Linked DNA regions of Macaca fascicularis. Each later gene encodes a partner of the first gene's protein in a complex. Links are inferred from orthologs where the notes say so. Each region holds a gene or a part of one and is shown on either strand. Other genes may lie near its edges.

The links.
Region 2: NCKAP1 (region 1) and ABI1 share a complex: the UniProt entries of both Homo sapiens proteins name them as parts of the WAVE2 complex. The link is inferred for Macaca fascicularis from reciprocal best matches to the Homo sapiens genes NCKAP1 and ABI1.
Region 3: NCKAP1 (region 1) and CYFIP2 share a complex: the UniProt entries of both Homo sapiens proteins name them as parts of the WAVE1 complex. The link is inferred for Macaca fascicularis from reciprocal best matches to the Homo sapiens genes NCKAP1 and CYFIP2.

Annotation. Positions count from the first base shown.
Region 1 is NC_088386.1:78,538,784-78,542,431, forward strand, and holds part of NCKAP1 (nck-associated protein 1), read right to left. Parts: intron 3,027-3,648; coding exon 2,930-3,026; intron 2,572-2,929; coding exon 2,465-2,571; intron 1,014-2,464; coding exon 881-1,013; intron 1-880. UniProt on the Homo sapiens protein: Part of the WAVE complex that regulates lamellipodia formation. The WAVE complex regulates actin filament reorganization via its interaction with the Arp2/3 complex. Actin remodeling activity is regulated by RAC1.
Region 2 is NC_088383.1:27,593,711-27,597,800, reverse strand, and holds the start of ABI1 (abl interactor 1), read left to right. Parts: upstream 1-1,233; 5' UTR 1,234-1,399; coding exon 1,400-1,516; intron 1,517-4,090. UniProt on the Homo sapiens protein: May act in negative regulation of cell growth and transformation by interacting with nonreceptor tyrosine kinases ABL1 and/or ABL2. May play a role in regulation of EGF-induced Erk pathway activation. Involved in cytoskeletal reorganization and EGFR signaling.
Region 3 is NC_088380.1:164,117,442-164,121,089, reverse strand, and holds part of CYFIP2 (cytoplasmic FMR1-interacting protein 2), read right to left. Parts: coding exon 3,518-3,648; intron 1,371-3,517; coding exon 1,296-1,370; intron 389-1,295; coding exon 235-388; intron 1-234. UniProt on the Homo sapiens protein: Involved in T-cell adhesion and p53/TP53-dependent induction of apoptosis. Does not bind RNA. As component of the WAVE1 complex, required for BDNF-NTRK2 endocytic trafficking and signaling from early endosomes.

The DNA.
Region 1 (3,648 bases):
TGCCTCAGCCTCCGGAGTAGCTGGGACCACAGGCGCCCGCTACCTCGCCCGGCTAGTTTTTTGTATTTTTTAGTAGAGATGGGGTTTCACCGTGTTAGCCAGGATGGTCTCGATCTCCTGACCTTGTGATCCGCCCGTCTCAGCCTCCCAAAGTGCTGGGATTACAGGCTTGAGCCACCGCGCCCGGCTTTTTTTAATTTAAATAAAGATGAAAAACACTGAATAAGTAAATTATGGAAAGCAAAAAAAAAAAAAAAGGCTAAAAACCAATTAAGAAAAAAAAATTGGACATTTAAATGGGAATATCTATATGAAATCTTTATTTACTGGTCATCCTTTAACAATCTTCTTCAAAAAGATTTTTATTCTTTCCTTCTAATAGTTAATTATCAATTATATTGTCTCTATCATCTCTTCTGAATCTCCATAGCTTCTGCCCAAGCTCAGGCTCTCATCACCTCTCATTTAGCCTACTGCTGTCATTTTTCTTCTGGTCTCTCTGCCTCCTTACTTGGTTCCCAGCAATCTATCATCCACACTGAACCAGGGTGATCTTTCTAAGTAGTACATCTGATTTATGACTAACCTCCTCTTTCCCAAGGCCCTCTGTAATTTGGTGAGTATACACCTTCATCTTCAGGATAAATAATCGTGTCTTTCCTTGTGTTCACTCTGAGCTTTATATACAGTTTACGCACAATACCTATCACATTGGACTACAACTGTTTCTTCCCTTCTAGGTAATGATCTCGACAAAATATAAACATGATTTATCGCTTGGCACATGATATTTCATAAATGCTTGTTGAACAAACAAATCAAATACCATCAAAGGTGGGAAGGAAGGAACAAAAGGGAAATAGTATAAGATAGTTTTTACCTGCACGAGTTCATTGAGGACAACAGCATCAAAGCCAGAAAGGTACTGCACGTAATACCTCTGCATTACAGGTCCATATTTCCTCACATGTGCTCTAAGCTCTTCCATGTAAAATATTAATTCAGCAATGTGCCTTTTTTAAAATTTCAAGAAAAATATTTCAAATAATAAATTCACCATTATTAAAGAATATATTAGAGGCCCTAGATCTCATTCATAAAAGTATTTTTCTTATAAAGGGCACTGTTTAATACCTGATGTCAATTACTTCCTTTTTAAATTGTTTCATAAATAAAGAAATCATGGAAAGCAAAGAAAAAAAGAAAAAAAGCTAAGGCTAAAAATTGATAGCAGAAAATCCAAACTGAAAATAGTGTTCACGGGTACAGTGGCTCACAACTGTAATTACAGCACTTCGGGAGGCCAAGGTAGGCTGATCACCTGAGGTCAGGGGTTCAAGACCAGCCTGGCCAACGAGGTAAAATCCCATCTCTGCTAAAAATACAAAAATTAGCTGGGCATGGTGGTGGGTGCCTGTAAACCCAGCTACTTGGGAGGCTGAGACAGGAGAATCGCTTGAACCCAGGAGGTTGAGGTTGCAATGAGCCAAGATGGCATCACTGCACTCTAGCCTGGGTGACAGAGTAAAACTCTGTCTCAAAAAACAAAACAAAACAAAACAAAATTAAATTAAAAAAAATAAAAAAACAGGACATGTTATAAATACATCATCAAAAAATCTCAAATAAAAGAGGATTAGCAAGAAATAAAATTTTCCTGTATGCTCTTACTTCTCTGCTCCATTTTTCTAACTCTTATTGAGAGACTGAACTAAAACAACACAAAGACATTTTAATGACACACTGGGTTGCAACTCTACAAACAGGATTTTTATTTAAATGTTTTGTGTAGTAACTAGTTTTAAAAAATGAATTCTGTAAGAAATATTATTGAGCATAGCAAGAAAACAAAAACTTTATCACCACAAAGCATACTATGAGAAAACAAAAGCCCTAATTTAAAACTAAAGTTGACTTTGCAGTCTAATTAATATCATCTAATGATATATCACAAATATTCCAAGCTCTTCAAAATAATTTTGCTTCAAATATAAGTCTCCAGATTCCCCAGCCCATAAATCAGAATACAGATGGTGCACACCTTACAGTGATTTGGATGTACTATCTTTCTAATTTACAATGGTGCAGAAGCAATACACATTTAGTACAAATTGTACTCTGAATTTTGACTTTTTTTTCCAGGCTAGCAATAGGCAGTATGATACTCTCTCATGATGCTGCCGCAGTTCCCAGTCAACTATGTAATCAGAAAGATAAACAACTTACACTCTTCAGTGTACTATGTTGCCAGATAATTTTGCCCAACTGTAGGCTAATAAAAGTGTTCTGAGCACATTTAAGGTAGGCTAGGCTAAGCTCTAATGTTCAGTAGATGAGATGTACTAAATGCATTTCAACTTAACAATATTTTCAACTTACAATGGGGTCTATCAGGACATAACCCCATTGTAAATCAAGCAGCATCTATATACAGAAAATAATTTTTTAAATGTTGCTAACGTACTTATCTATAAAGTCGTCTGCACTCTTCTTTGGCATGTTATCTGCATGACGAAGTAGCCAGATGATTTCATCACGGGCAAAGGATAACGCCATAAAAACAAAAAGTGCCTGTTTAAAAAAAATAAGTGTTTATTCTTATTCAATGACAAAAAACAAACTCGTAATCTCTTTCTATGTGAAAAGTCATTGGCAAGAAGTGATAATATCAATTCAAAAGAGTGAGGAGACTAACAGGAGAGAGCACAAGAGAACTTACAAGTATGTAGGAGAGAGAGAGCATGCATACAAGGGAGAAGAATGCAGGGAGGTACGATGTATGAATGTCAAGTCAGAAAATTCATGCTCCACTAAATATAAAAATCCTTTTATGTAGTCCCTGACTCAAATTTCAGTAAAATTTCATGTAGAAATGTTTTTTAAAATTTTAATATGGCACAATTATTGAAATAATAATTAAATCAGTTACCTTGGGACCTAGCAATCCAGGCTGATCAGAGAGGACAGTAGCCAATTCCTTCAGTGCAGATCTTAAAAACTTGCGTCTTTCTCTGTGCATTGAACCGCTACAGGGAAAGACACCATAATAGTTTATCTGCTTCTACTAAAATTTTTATTGGCAATTAAAGTAACTAGCATTACAGGTTCAACTTCTAAAGTCTTTTTTTAGGAAGCCAAAGTTCCTATAAAAATAATCTTCTATGTGTTTGTCATTGAGTTTCTAATCTTACATTTATCCTGCCTTTCTTGTGTTGCTTTTTAAACTGTGTTTCTTCTGTTATTCTCCATCTATCAAAATCCTACCCAACCTTCAAGACCAGTCCTTCAAGAAGCATTTCCCAACATCCAGGTATTTATTGACGAATAATTTCTCCAATTTTAGTACCACACGGCTTTAAGCACTTTACAGACTGAAATTCTTGACGGTGACCAGGCCCATGCTTATAATCCCAGCACTTTGGGAGGTCAAGTTGGGTGGATTGCCTGAGCTCAGGAGTTCGAGACCAACCTGGGCAACATGGCAAAACTCCGTCTCTACTAAAAATACAGAAAATTAGCCAGGTATGGTGGGCGCCTGTAATCCCAGCTACTTGGGAGGCTGAGGCAGGAGAATCACTTGAGCCCAGGAGGCAGAGGTTGCAGTGAGCCAAGATCATGCCACTGCACTCCAGCCTGGATGACAGAGCA
Region 2 (4,090 bases), on another chromosome or scaffold:
TTTTGATTCTAAATGACTTTATGGAGATACATGGACATATGGATTTTACAATGATCTTTAGTTTCCTCTTCGGCCTTTGGACAACACTTTTCATAGCTGATTATATCCAAAGCATTTAATGTTCCCGTTGAAGTGAAGAGCTTGAAATATAGGGCCTTTTGAGACTATTCCAAAGCAGGTGATAAAAACAAAACAAAAATCCAGAAGCAAAAAACGAAGGGCCAGCATGGGTGGCTCATGATTGTAATCCTAGCAGTTTGGGAGGCTGAGGCAGAAGGATTGCTTGAGGCCAGGGGTTCGAGACCAGCGAGGGCAACAAAATTGGATCCCTGTCGCTACAAAAATTTAAAAAGCTCAGCCCCGGTGTAGTGACCCTCGCTTGTAGTCCCAGTTACTCCGGAGGCTGAGGCATGAGGATCGCTTGAGTCTAGGAGGTCTAGGCTGCAGAGAGCCGTGATTGCGCTACCGTACTCCAGGCTGGGTAAGAGTGAGATCCTGTTTCAAACAACCCCCACCCCTAAAAAACCGTGCACTTGACTTTAAAAGTGTAGGAAGATTACATGCCAAGGAGAGTCACAGAAAAGAGAAATTAGGACAGGAAAGCCCTACAAGCTATGCATGTTTATTTTATAATCGAGTCTTTAAGGGTATGGAGTATTCATACTCAACTTGTACCCCCAGTGTCCAGTACACTGCTTAGTAAACAGCTGGAATCAAGAAATCTTTGCTAAATTTTAAATTAATTGATGGGGGCGGAAGCTCAGAAAGTAAAACCTGACTCGCATTATTTCTAAGAAGGCAGAGGAAGTAAAAATCTAGTTTTCTATACTCTGTCCCTTTTTAATCCTTCTGTGAATGGATGTCCCTGATTCACTGGCATTTCCTAATTAACCAAGTTCTGCCAAGTTTCACATGAAACTTGGGGAACCGATTTCATTCCCCCACAATCACCCTGTGGCGCCACCTTCCGGAGCTGTGAGGAAACTCCGGACTTCCCCCCAACACCGCCCCCTCCCTCCACCTTCGGTCTCCGCTTTCTGCGCTCTGCCTAGTTGTTTTCGGAGGTGTCTGCGCGCATGCGCTTTGGACGGGCAGCCTTGTCTAAGAGAGACTACAATTCCCAGAAGACAGTGCGAAAGAAAAAAAAATCCCGCGGCCCGGCGTGGGGGAGGTGGCAGAAATGAAGACTCGCGAGAGAACGAGGTTCAGGCGGCTGCGCGAAGTGGGTGGAGGGAGACCCGAGAGAGTGAGGAAGAACGGGAGGAGGTGCCGTCCCACAATACCAGGCGGGAGGGCGGGTAGTCGGTTTGTATCCGGGCTGTGAGGTGCTCGGAGCCTCGGCGGACCTTGCTGCCTCTGTCTCTTTAACGCGAGAGGAAGCGATGCAGAGGGGTGGAAAATGGCAGAGCTGCAGATGTTACTAGAGGAGGAGATCCCGTCTGGCAAGAGGGCGCTGATCGAGAGTTACCAGAACCTGACTCGGGTGGCGGACTACTGTGAAAACAACTACATACAGGTGAGGCGCGCTGGCGGCCGGCGGGCGCTGGCCGGGTCGAGGACCCGCCGGAGTGACCAGCCCACTGGGCGGGGTGGGGAACTGCCCTCACCTCAGCGGTTGCCACCAGCCCGAGCCCCTACCGCAGTCCCAACCCCAGCCCCAACCGGGGACAGAGCGAGTGGCCCGGCTGAGGGAGTCGGGCTGCGATACAGGAAGTGGCTGTGGTGGTGGAAATCGATGGAAGGGGAGAGAAAATGGGCGAGGGAGCCGGGAGCCCGCCGCAGCCCGGCGCCCCCCTCGCGTCCGCTTTCCCCAGGGCCGGGCCACCGGGGTCGCGCGCCCCCCAGGTAGCCTCCAGTCCACGGAGCTGGCGTCCTGGAGACCCCCCTGCTGCCGCCGCGCCGCCTCTCTGCGCCCGGAGAGGAGGTCCAGGACGGGAGAGGGGAGAGGAGAGGGCAGGGACCAGGCTGAAGCCGCAGAAGGGATAGGACCAGCGGGGTGTGTGTTGTGTGTCGGCGGAGGGTGGGGTGGGGGCCATTATGTCAGTTTCAGCCCCCAGAGGGTGTGTCTTTTATTTATTTATTTAAAAAAAATTTGTCATGAGTCACATTACACCGACCTCCCGGAGGAGAGGAGGAAGCGGGTGTGGGGAGTGAGGGAGGGCGTTTGAGAGAAGTTAATCTTAAAATTCCTTTAATTGAAGGTTTGTAAATCTGCCTGCTTGTCCATTTTCAAGTCGGGTTCCCCCCCCCCCCCCGCCATCGTTTTCGCTTCCGCCCCACCGTAATGTATTCTAAGAGGTTGTTAGGGCTGCTATCATTAATTATCAAACAGGAATTGTTTTTAACTCCTTGGAAAAACGGCTTAAATACTCTCTCTTCTCCCAAAAGTTCTTGAACTGTAGGCTTCATAAGTAACTTAATACTGGTGTCATCGCTGGTTGCTTATTTTCTGAGGTTTCTCTCTTAACAAGCTAAGTAAATGTATAGTATATGAATCCAAGTACAGAAATGAACAGAGGTAGCCTCCGAACTACAACATAAAAATATCAGTTATTGTAAATTAGAAAACTCTTGGGACTTTGTGACAGATGCTGGTTTGTTCATTTCTTTTTGGATGATTGGAAGTGAATTGTGTGTGGTAGTTTGTTTTGAAGACCTTTAACTGTGTAAACCAACAGTTTGCACTAGAAACAAAGTAGCACAGTCCTTTGTATAAATATAAAGCCACCAGAAATGCTCTTGCTTTTGGTAAGGCAAGGCTAGAACGTGCTTTGAAAGGTTAGGGTTATTGCAATTCAGAACTAAATTATTTATAGAAATGCCTCCCATGTGATTATAATTTTTAAGAACCAATGTTTGTGTGTTGGCAAATGCTTTCCCTCTTTATTTTTAGAGGGAGATGCTGTTTTCAGAATGTTTTGAATATTTCTTAATTTTGATGTTAGTAACATTGTATCTTCAGTAGCACTACTCGGAATTTATCTTCACAATTTTTTTGTAAAGTTTTTACTTTAGGAATTCTTCGGATAAGTAAACTTGTTGAATACCTGTCACATCTACTGTATCACTTTGTTTATGCAAACTTTATATTTAGCCCTTCGAAACTTAAAAATCGAGTAGAAAAGTGGGTATAGTTTGCAAATACAAAAGTGATCTTGTAGTTTATCGATATTAAAAATAGGCAACTTTTATTCAACTTAACATGAAAAGCCTTGAAATTGAGGAGAACCTTAATTTGCTGAAAGTTTTAAAGATTTTTGAAAGCCAAAAGGAGAGCACAGTAGGTTAAATTGCTCCCTTTCCAGAAAAGTTATGTCTTCTCTGTAGAAGTCAGTAGATAAGTACTTCATACAGGGTGGCTCCTTTTTGTTTTGCGTGTTGGGAAATCTGACGAGTATATAGTGTGGTAACTATGTGTTGGCAACTCTTGGTAACTGTAAACGTGTTTTAACCTGTGTACTATTTCTTTTTCAGGTAGTTGTATGCTGTAATGCTTTTTTTACCCCTCTCTGACCCCTTTCCTTTACTCCTCTTGCTACGATCATGTAACTTTGAAGCACTTTAAAACTTCTTTGCTAATATATCTAATTAAGTCATGTTATTTCTCATACAGTCTCTCACTTTATAAAATGTTAGTGCCATGGTGCAGGCCCCGTTTTTTTATTTTCTTTTTTTGCGGGGGCGGGGTGGGGTATAATTCTAAATCTGACACCAGTGAGGTGTTTTGTTTATACTGGGGGGGGGGGGGGGGGAAAGAATTCACACAAAGCAATGATGATCTAAATACCTTAGTAGCCTTTATTCATTGGGCTGCATGATCCAGGCCACTAGTTGCCTCCCTAAGGGACTCAGACAGGGTCAGACTCAGAAAGTGATGTGGAAGTTGATGTGGTAGGTGGTGCTGATGACTTTGGTGCTAAGAATGGGGAATGAATAATATTAGAAATATCCATTAGGGTGTCTGTTGAGGTCTTTCTATATCCTTCCTGGGACCTGATTGGGTTATTTATAACTAATACTCTTCATAAATATACCTCTTCTCAGTGAAAGTATGCAGTTCACATGTGCTTTGAGAATTTTTAAATAAGGT
Region 3 (3,648 bases), on another chromosome or scaffold:
CAGGTATCTCCCGGACACATTTAGCTAGGTCAGAATAGCTGAGTTGAACCTGGCCTTTCCCAGCTCCAAAAGCCCACTGGAAAGTGTGTGTGTTTTCCTTGGCGGTGATATCAACGATCACGTCCTTAGGGTCAACGATCACGTCCCTTTGCCATGCCTGGCTTGGTGGTCTTAGTGGCTCTGAGCCCTTCGTCCCCTCCCTCCATGCCTCAGCAGGGGTGGGATGCAGCTCACCACTGATGTTGAGCAGGTGTGTGAAGAAGAAGGACTGTTTGTGAAAGTCCTCTATGGCGAGGACAATGGGTCCGTCGAGGCTGCTCCTCAGGGTCTTCTTGGAGCCGCTTTTGTCTGCAATGAGCGATTCAAGCATGGTCCGCACCATGTACAGCTTGAAAAAGAAGGCAAGATGAGAAGGTCAGAAGCTGGCCCTCCACCCCAGGGGAAAAGGTTGCTTCGTGTTGTATTTATGTATTTATTCTTGTCTGCAGATGTCTGCTCTTAAAAAGCATTGTCCTAAGGAAGCACCAGTTTAGGGTTTGAGAAGTAAATGTGGAACTGTGAAAAGCTTCATGGCCAACCCGGGCCCCGTGGCATCCCTGGGCCGGTGGGCCTGGCCACAGCAGGTGGCTCCCTGCTCTGCTTGGCCAAGGGTGTGTATATCAGAGGAGAACCTCATTACATGTCACCCTGGAGTCACTCACTCCCTGTTTTCCCAGAGGGCCACAGATGCCATGGGCGGAGCACTGGACTGGGAGTCAAAAGACCGGGGTTCAAGGCCAGGCACTGCTGCTGATTTGCTGTGTGACCTTAGGCAACAAAGCCCCCACTCTGGGCCTCAGTTGTCTCATGTAACATGAGGGGGTTGGACCAGATGCCTTCTCACACCAGTCCCTTTCAGAACTAACATTCTGAGGAACTGAGAAATGGGATAAGATCAGAACGAACCCCCTCCCACACCTGTTCCTGATCCTCAGCGTTTTGACCCCGTGGCTGAGCAATGGCGCCCCCTTGGTGGCATCGGCTGCACTGCACAGCCTGCTGAAGTCCGGGGCGGAAGGCGGGTTAACATTGGTACTTACACAGGAGGCTACTAGACAATTAACTCCCGCTTACAGGGTGCCTTAAGTGCAAAGGATGCAAGTGCGGTGGGGTGGTTCTCTTTGCTAATCTAGATCTCTCCACATCATTTGTCTGTGAATCTTAGGGCTGGAAGGGGCCTTGAGGAGCCAGGCTAGTCCATTCCTGCTGCCTCCTCGAGAAGGGTACCCAAACCACCCAGCCAGGCGGTGTGATACCAGGGATCGGCAGCCTCTTCGGCCCTGTGTGCCACCAGTGGGGTGAAACAAAGCCCTCGGGGACCACTGGCAGGCCTAAGACACAGATAGGAGAGAAGGAAGAGGGAACGGGAGGGCAGGAGAGACAGGGAAGAGGGAGAGAGAGAAAGAGAGAGAGAGAGAGAGAGAGAGAAAAGCAAGAGGTATTGTATACGGTGGGAAAGCCGCCACGACTGCCGACTGCCGGGGGCTACCTCTGAGACACTCCAACCTCCCAGCAACCGCGTTCGTCTTCGCTGCCTCTGGAGCTTCCCTGGGATCTTCCCCACCACATACCTGGCACTGATGCGGGCAGGGCAGCCACAGAAACGTGACCCACCATCCCTGCCACAGGGCTTCCTTTGTGGGAAAGCAGCCATGGTGGCCGTCAGTGCCTCAGACAGTCCCCCATCTGCAGGCCTGTTGGGGGGCCCGTCTCATCATCCCTAAGAGCCGAGAAGCACTCTTCTCATGACGGCCTCTCAAGTCCTCAAAGGAAGAATGCAAGTCTAATCTGTTGTGGATGCTGTCTGATTGATGTCCAACTCTAACGATCTGAAAACTGGTTTCACCCATAAGAGGGTGAACTCTTTTCCCATGTACTTTTACTTAACAGAGCATTTAATTCACCAAACCAGTCTCTATCCCAACTATGCAAGATGCCCATGTCTACTGTGCCCTGCAGACCATACCAGAGCCCTGGGTGGGTGTCAGGAGACCTGGGTTCTTGTCCCACCTCCACCTGGGACTCGCCTTGTGACTTGGACAAGTCACTTCCCCTCTCTAGACCTCAGTTTCCCCATCTGCAAGATATGGGGAGGGCCTAGGTTTCTCTAAGAGCTCTCCCAGCTCTGGTTGTCTAGGAGTCTATTCCACATGTCTGTGCCACCCTGGCATGACCTGGTGGAGGCTGGGGGTGAGGGGGGATTTACTGCTGGTGACCCACCCCTCTCACATCATCTACACAAATCCTCCCTTCCTCACCTCTCCTTTTCTCTCTGCCTGTTAAGCCCCCTCCTCCTCCTTTCCAGTGTCTTTTGTGCCTTGTCTGTCTCCTGCTCACTCATGTCTTAAAACTTACAGAAACACCTGAAAGCCCTGCTCAGTGTTCCCCGGACCTCAGTCCTTGATACTACACAGAACTGTTTGCAGACGCTTCCTCGGGGCGTTCTACAACCAGCCGGTGAGATTGGTGCAAACTGGCAGAGGGTTGTCAAGCCAAGGGGAGTTAAGACGACCCTGCCGAGAACCCACCTCTCCCCTGCCCCAGCCCCCAGCACAGACACAGACACACACACAGGGAGAAGGGTCAGGGGGTGGGCCTCGGATGGTCCATCTCGGGTGGCTGAGAGCAGAGAGAGGCTTAAAGGTCATGGGAAGTGAGGCCTCTGAGACCCTTAAACCCGCAATGAGAACCATCTGCTTTTTCCAGCACATCAAAAATACTACCAGAAACTACCTAGCCTTAAGTAGGTAGCAGGGACTTAACGGAGATACTCAGATTATTGACTTTTTTTCTGTAATGTTATGACTGCTCTGGATAAGCCACGGGCGACCTCTTGCGTAGAAGCTCTGGCTGGCAACTCTGAGTGTTTCCAAATACTGGACTTCCTCTAAGGGGACAAGGGCTTTCAACACTTGCACTTTTGGAAGGATGTGGAACTAAGGGATATTTTGTTAGTAACACAATCTCATTCGAAGTTTTCATTTTGCAGAGAAGATAGTCAGAGCTCAGAGAGCTCAAGGTGCTTGCCCAAGATCACACAGCAAGTCAGAGGCAGAACTTTTAGGGGAAAGGGCCAGGGCTTATTAAAGAGGGACAGGATAGATGTGTATAGATTCCACTTTAACCTCCTCCTGCACTTTGGAATCTATACTTCATAGGACTAGAAGATAGCCAGGCAAGGTGGATGTGGTATTATCCCCATTAGCTAGTTTAAACAACTGAGGCACAGAGAGATCTGTAACGTGCCCGAGGTCACACAGGTATCTAGGACTAGAATCCAGGTCTCCTGAATCTTAAGCCAGTGGTCCTCCTTCCTATATCAAAACAATATGGCAGAATAAAACCAGAGCAGCCACTCAACCCTGCCCCTCCTGACCAATGGCTCCCAGTCCCACTGCCCATGGCCAGCCATGATGACCTACCATAGCTGGGCTGGCCTCTGAGTCAACGCAGCTGGCCTGTGCCTGGAGCCGCTTACCTGTGTGCTGGATGGCCCCACAGCACGCCGGGGCACCTTGATGTCAAATCCACCTTTGGGGTCCTTCTCCCCTCTCAAGCATGGGTCATTGGGGGGCTCTCGCCCTCCCTCCCAGTCACAGATGGTCTTTC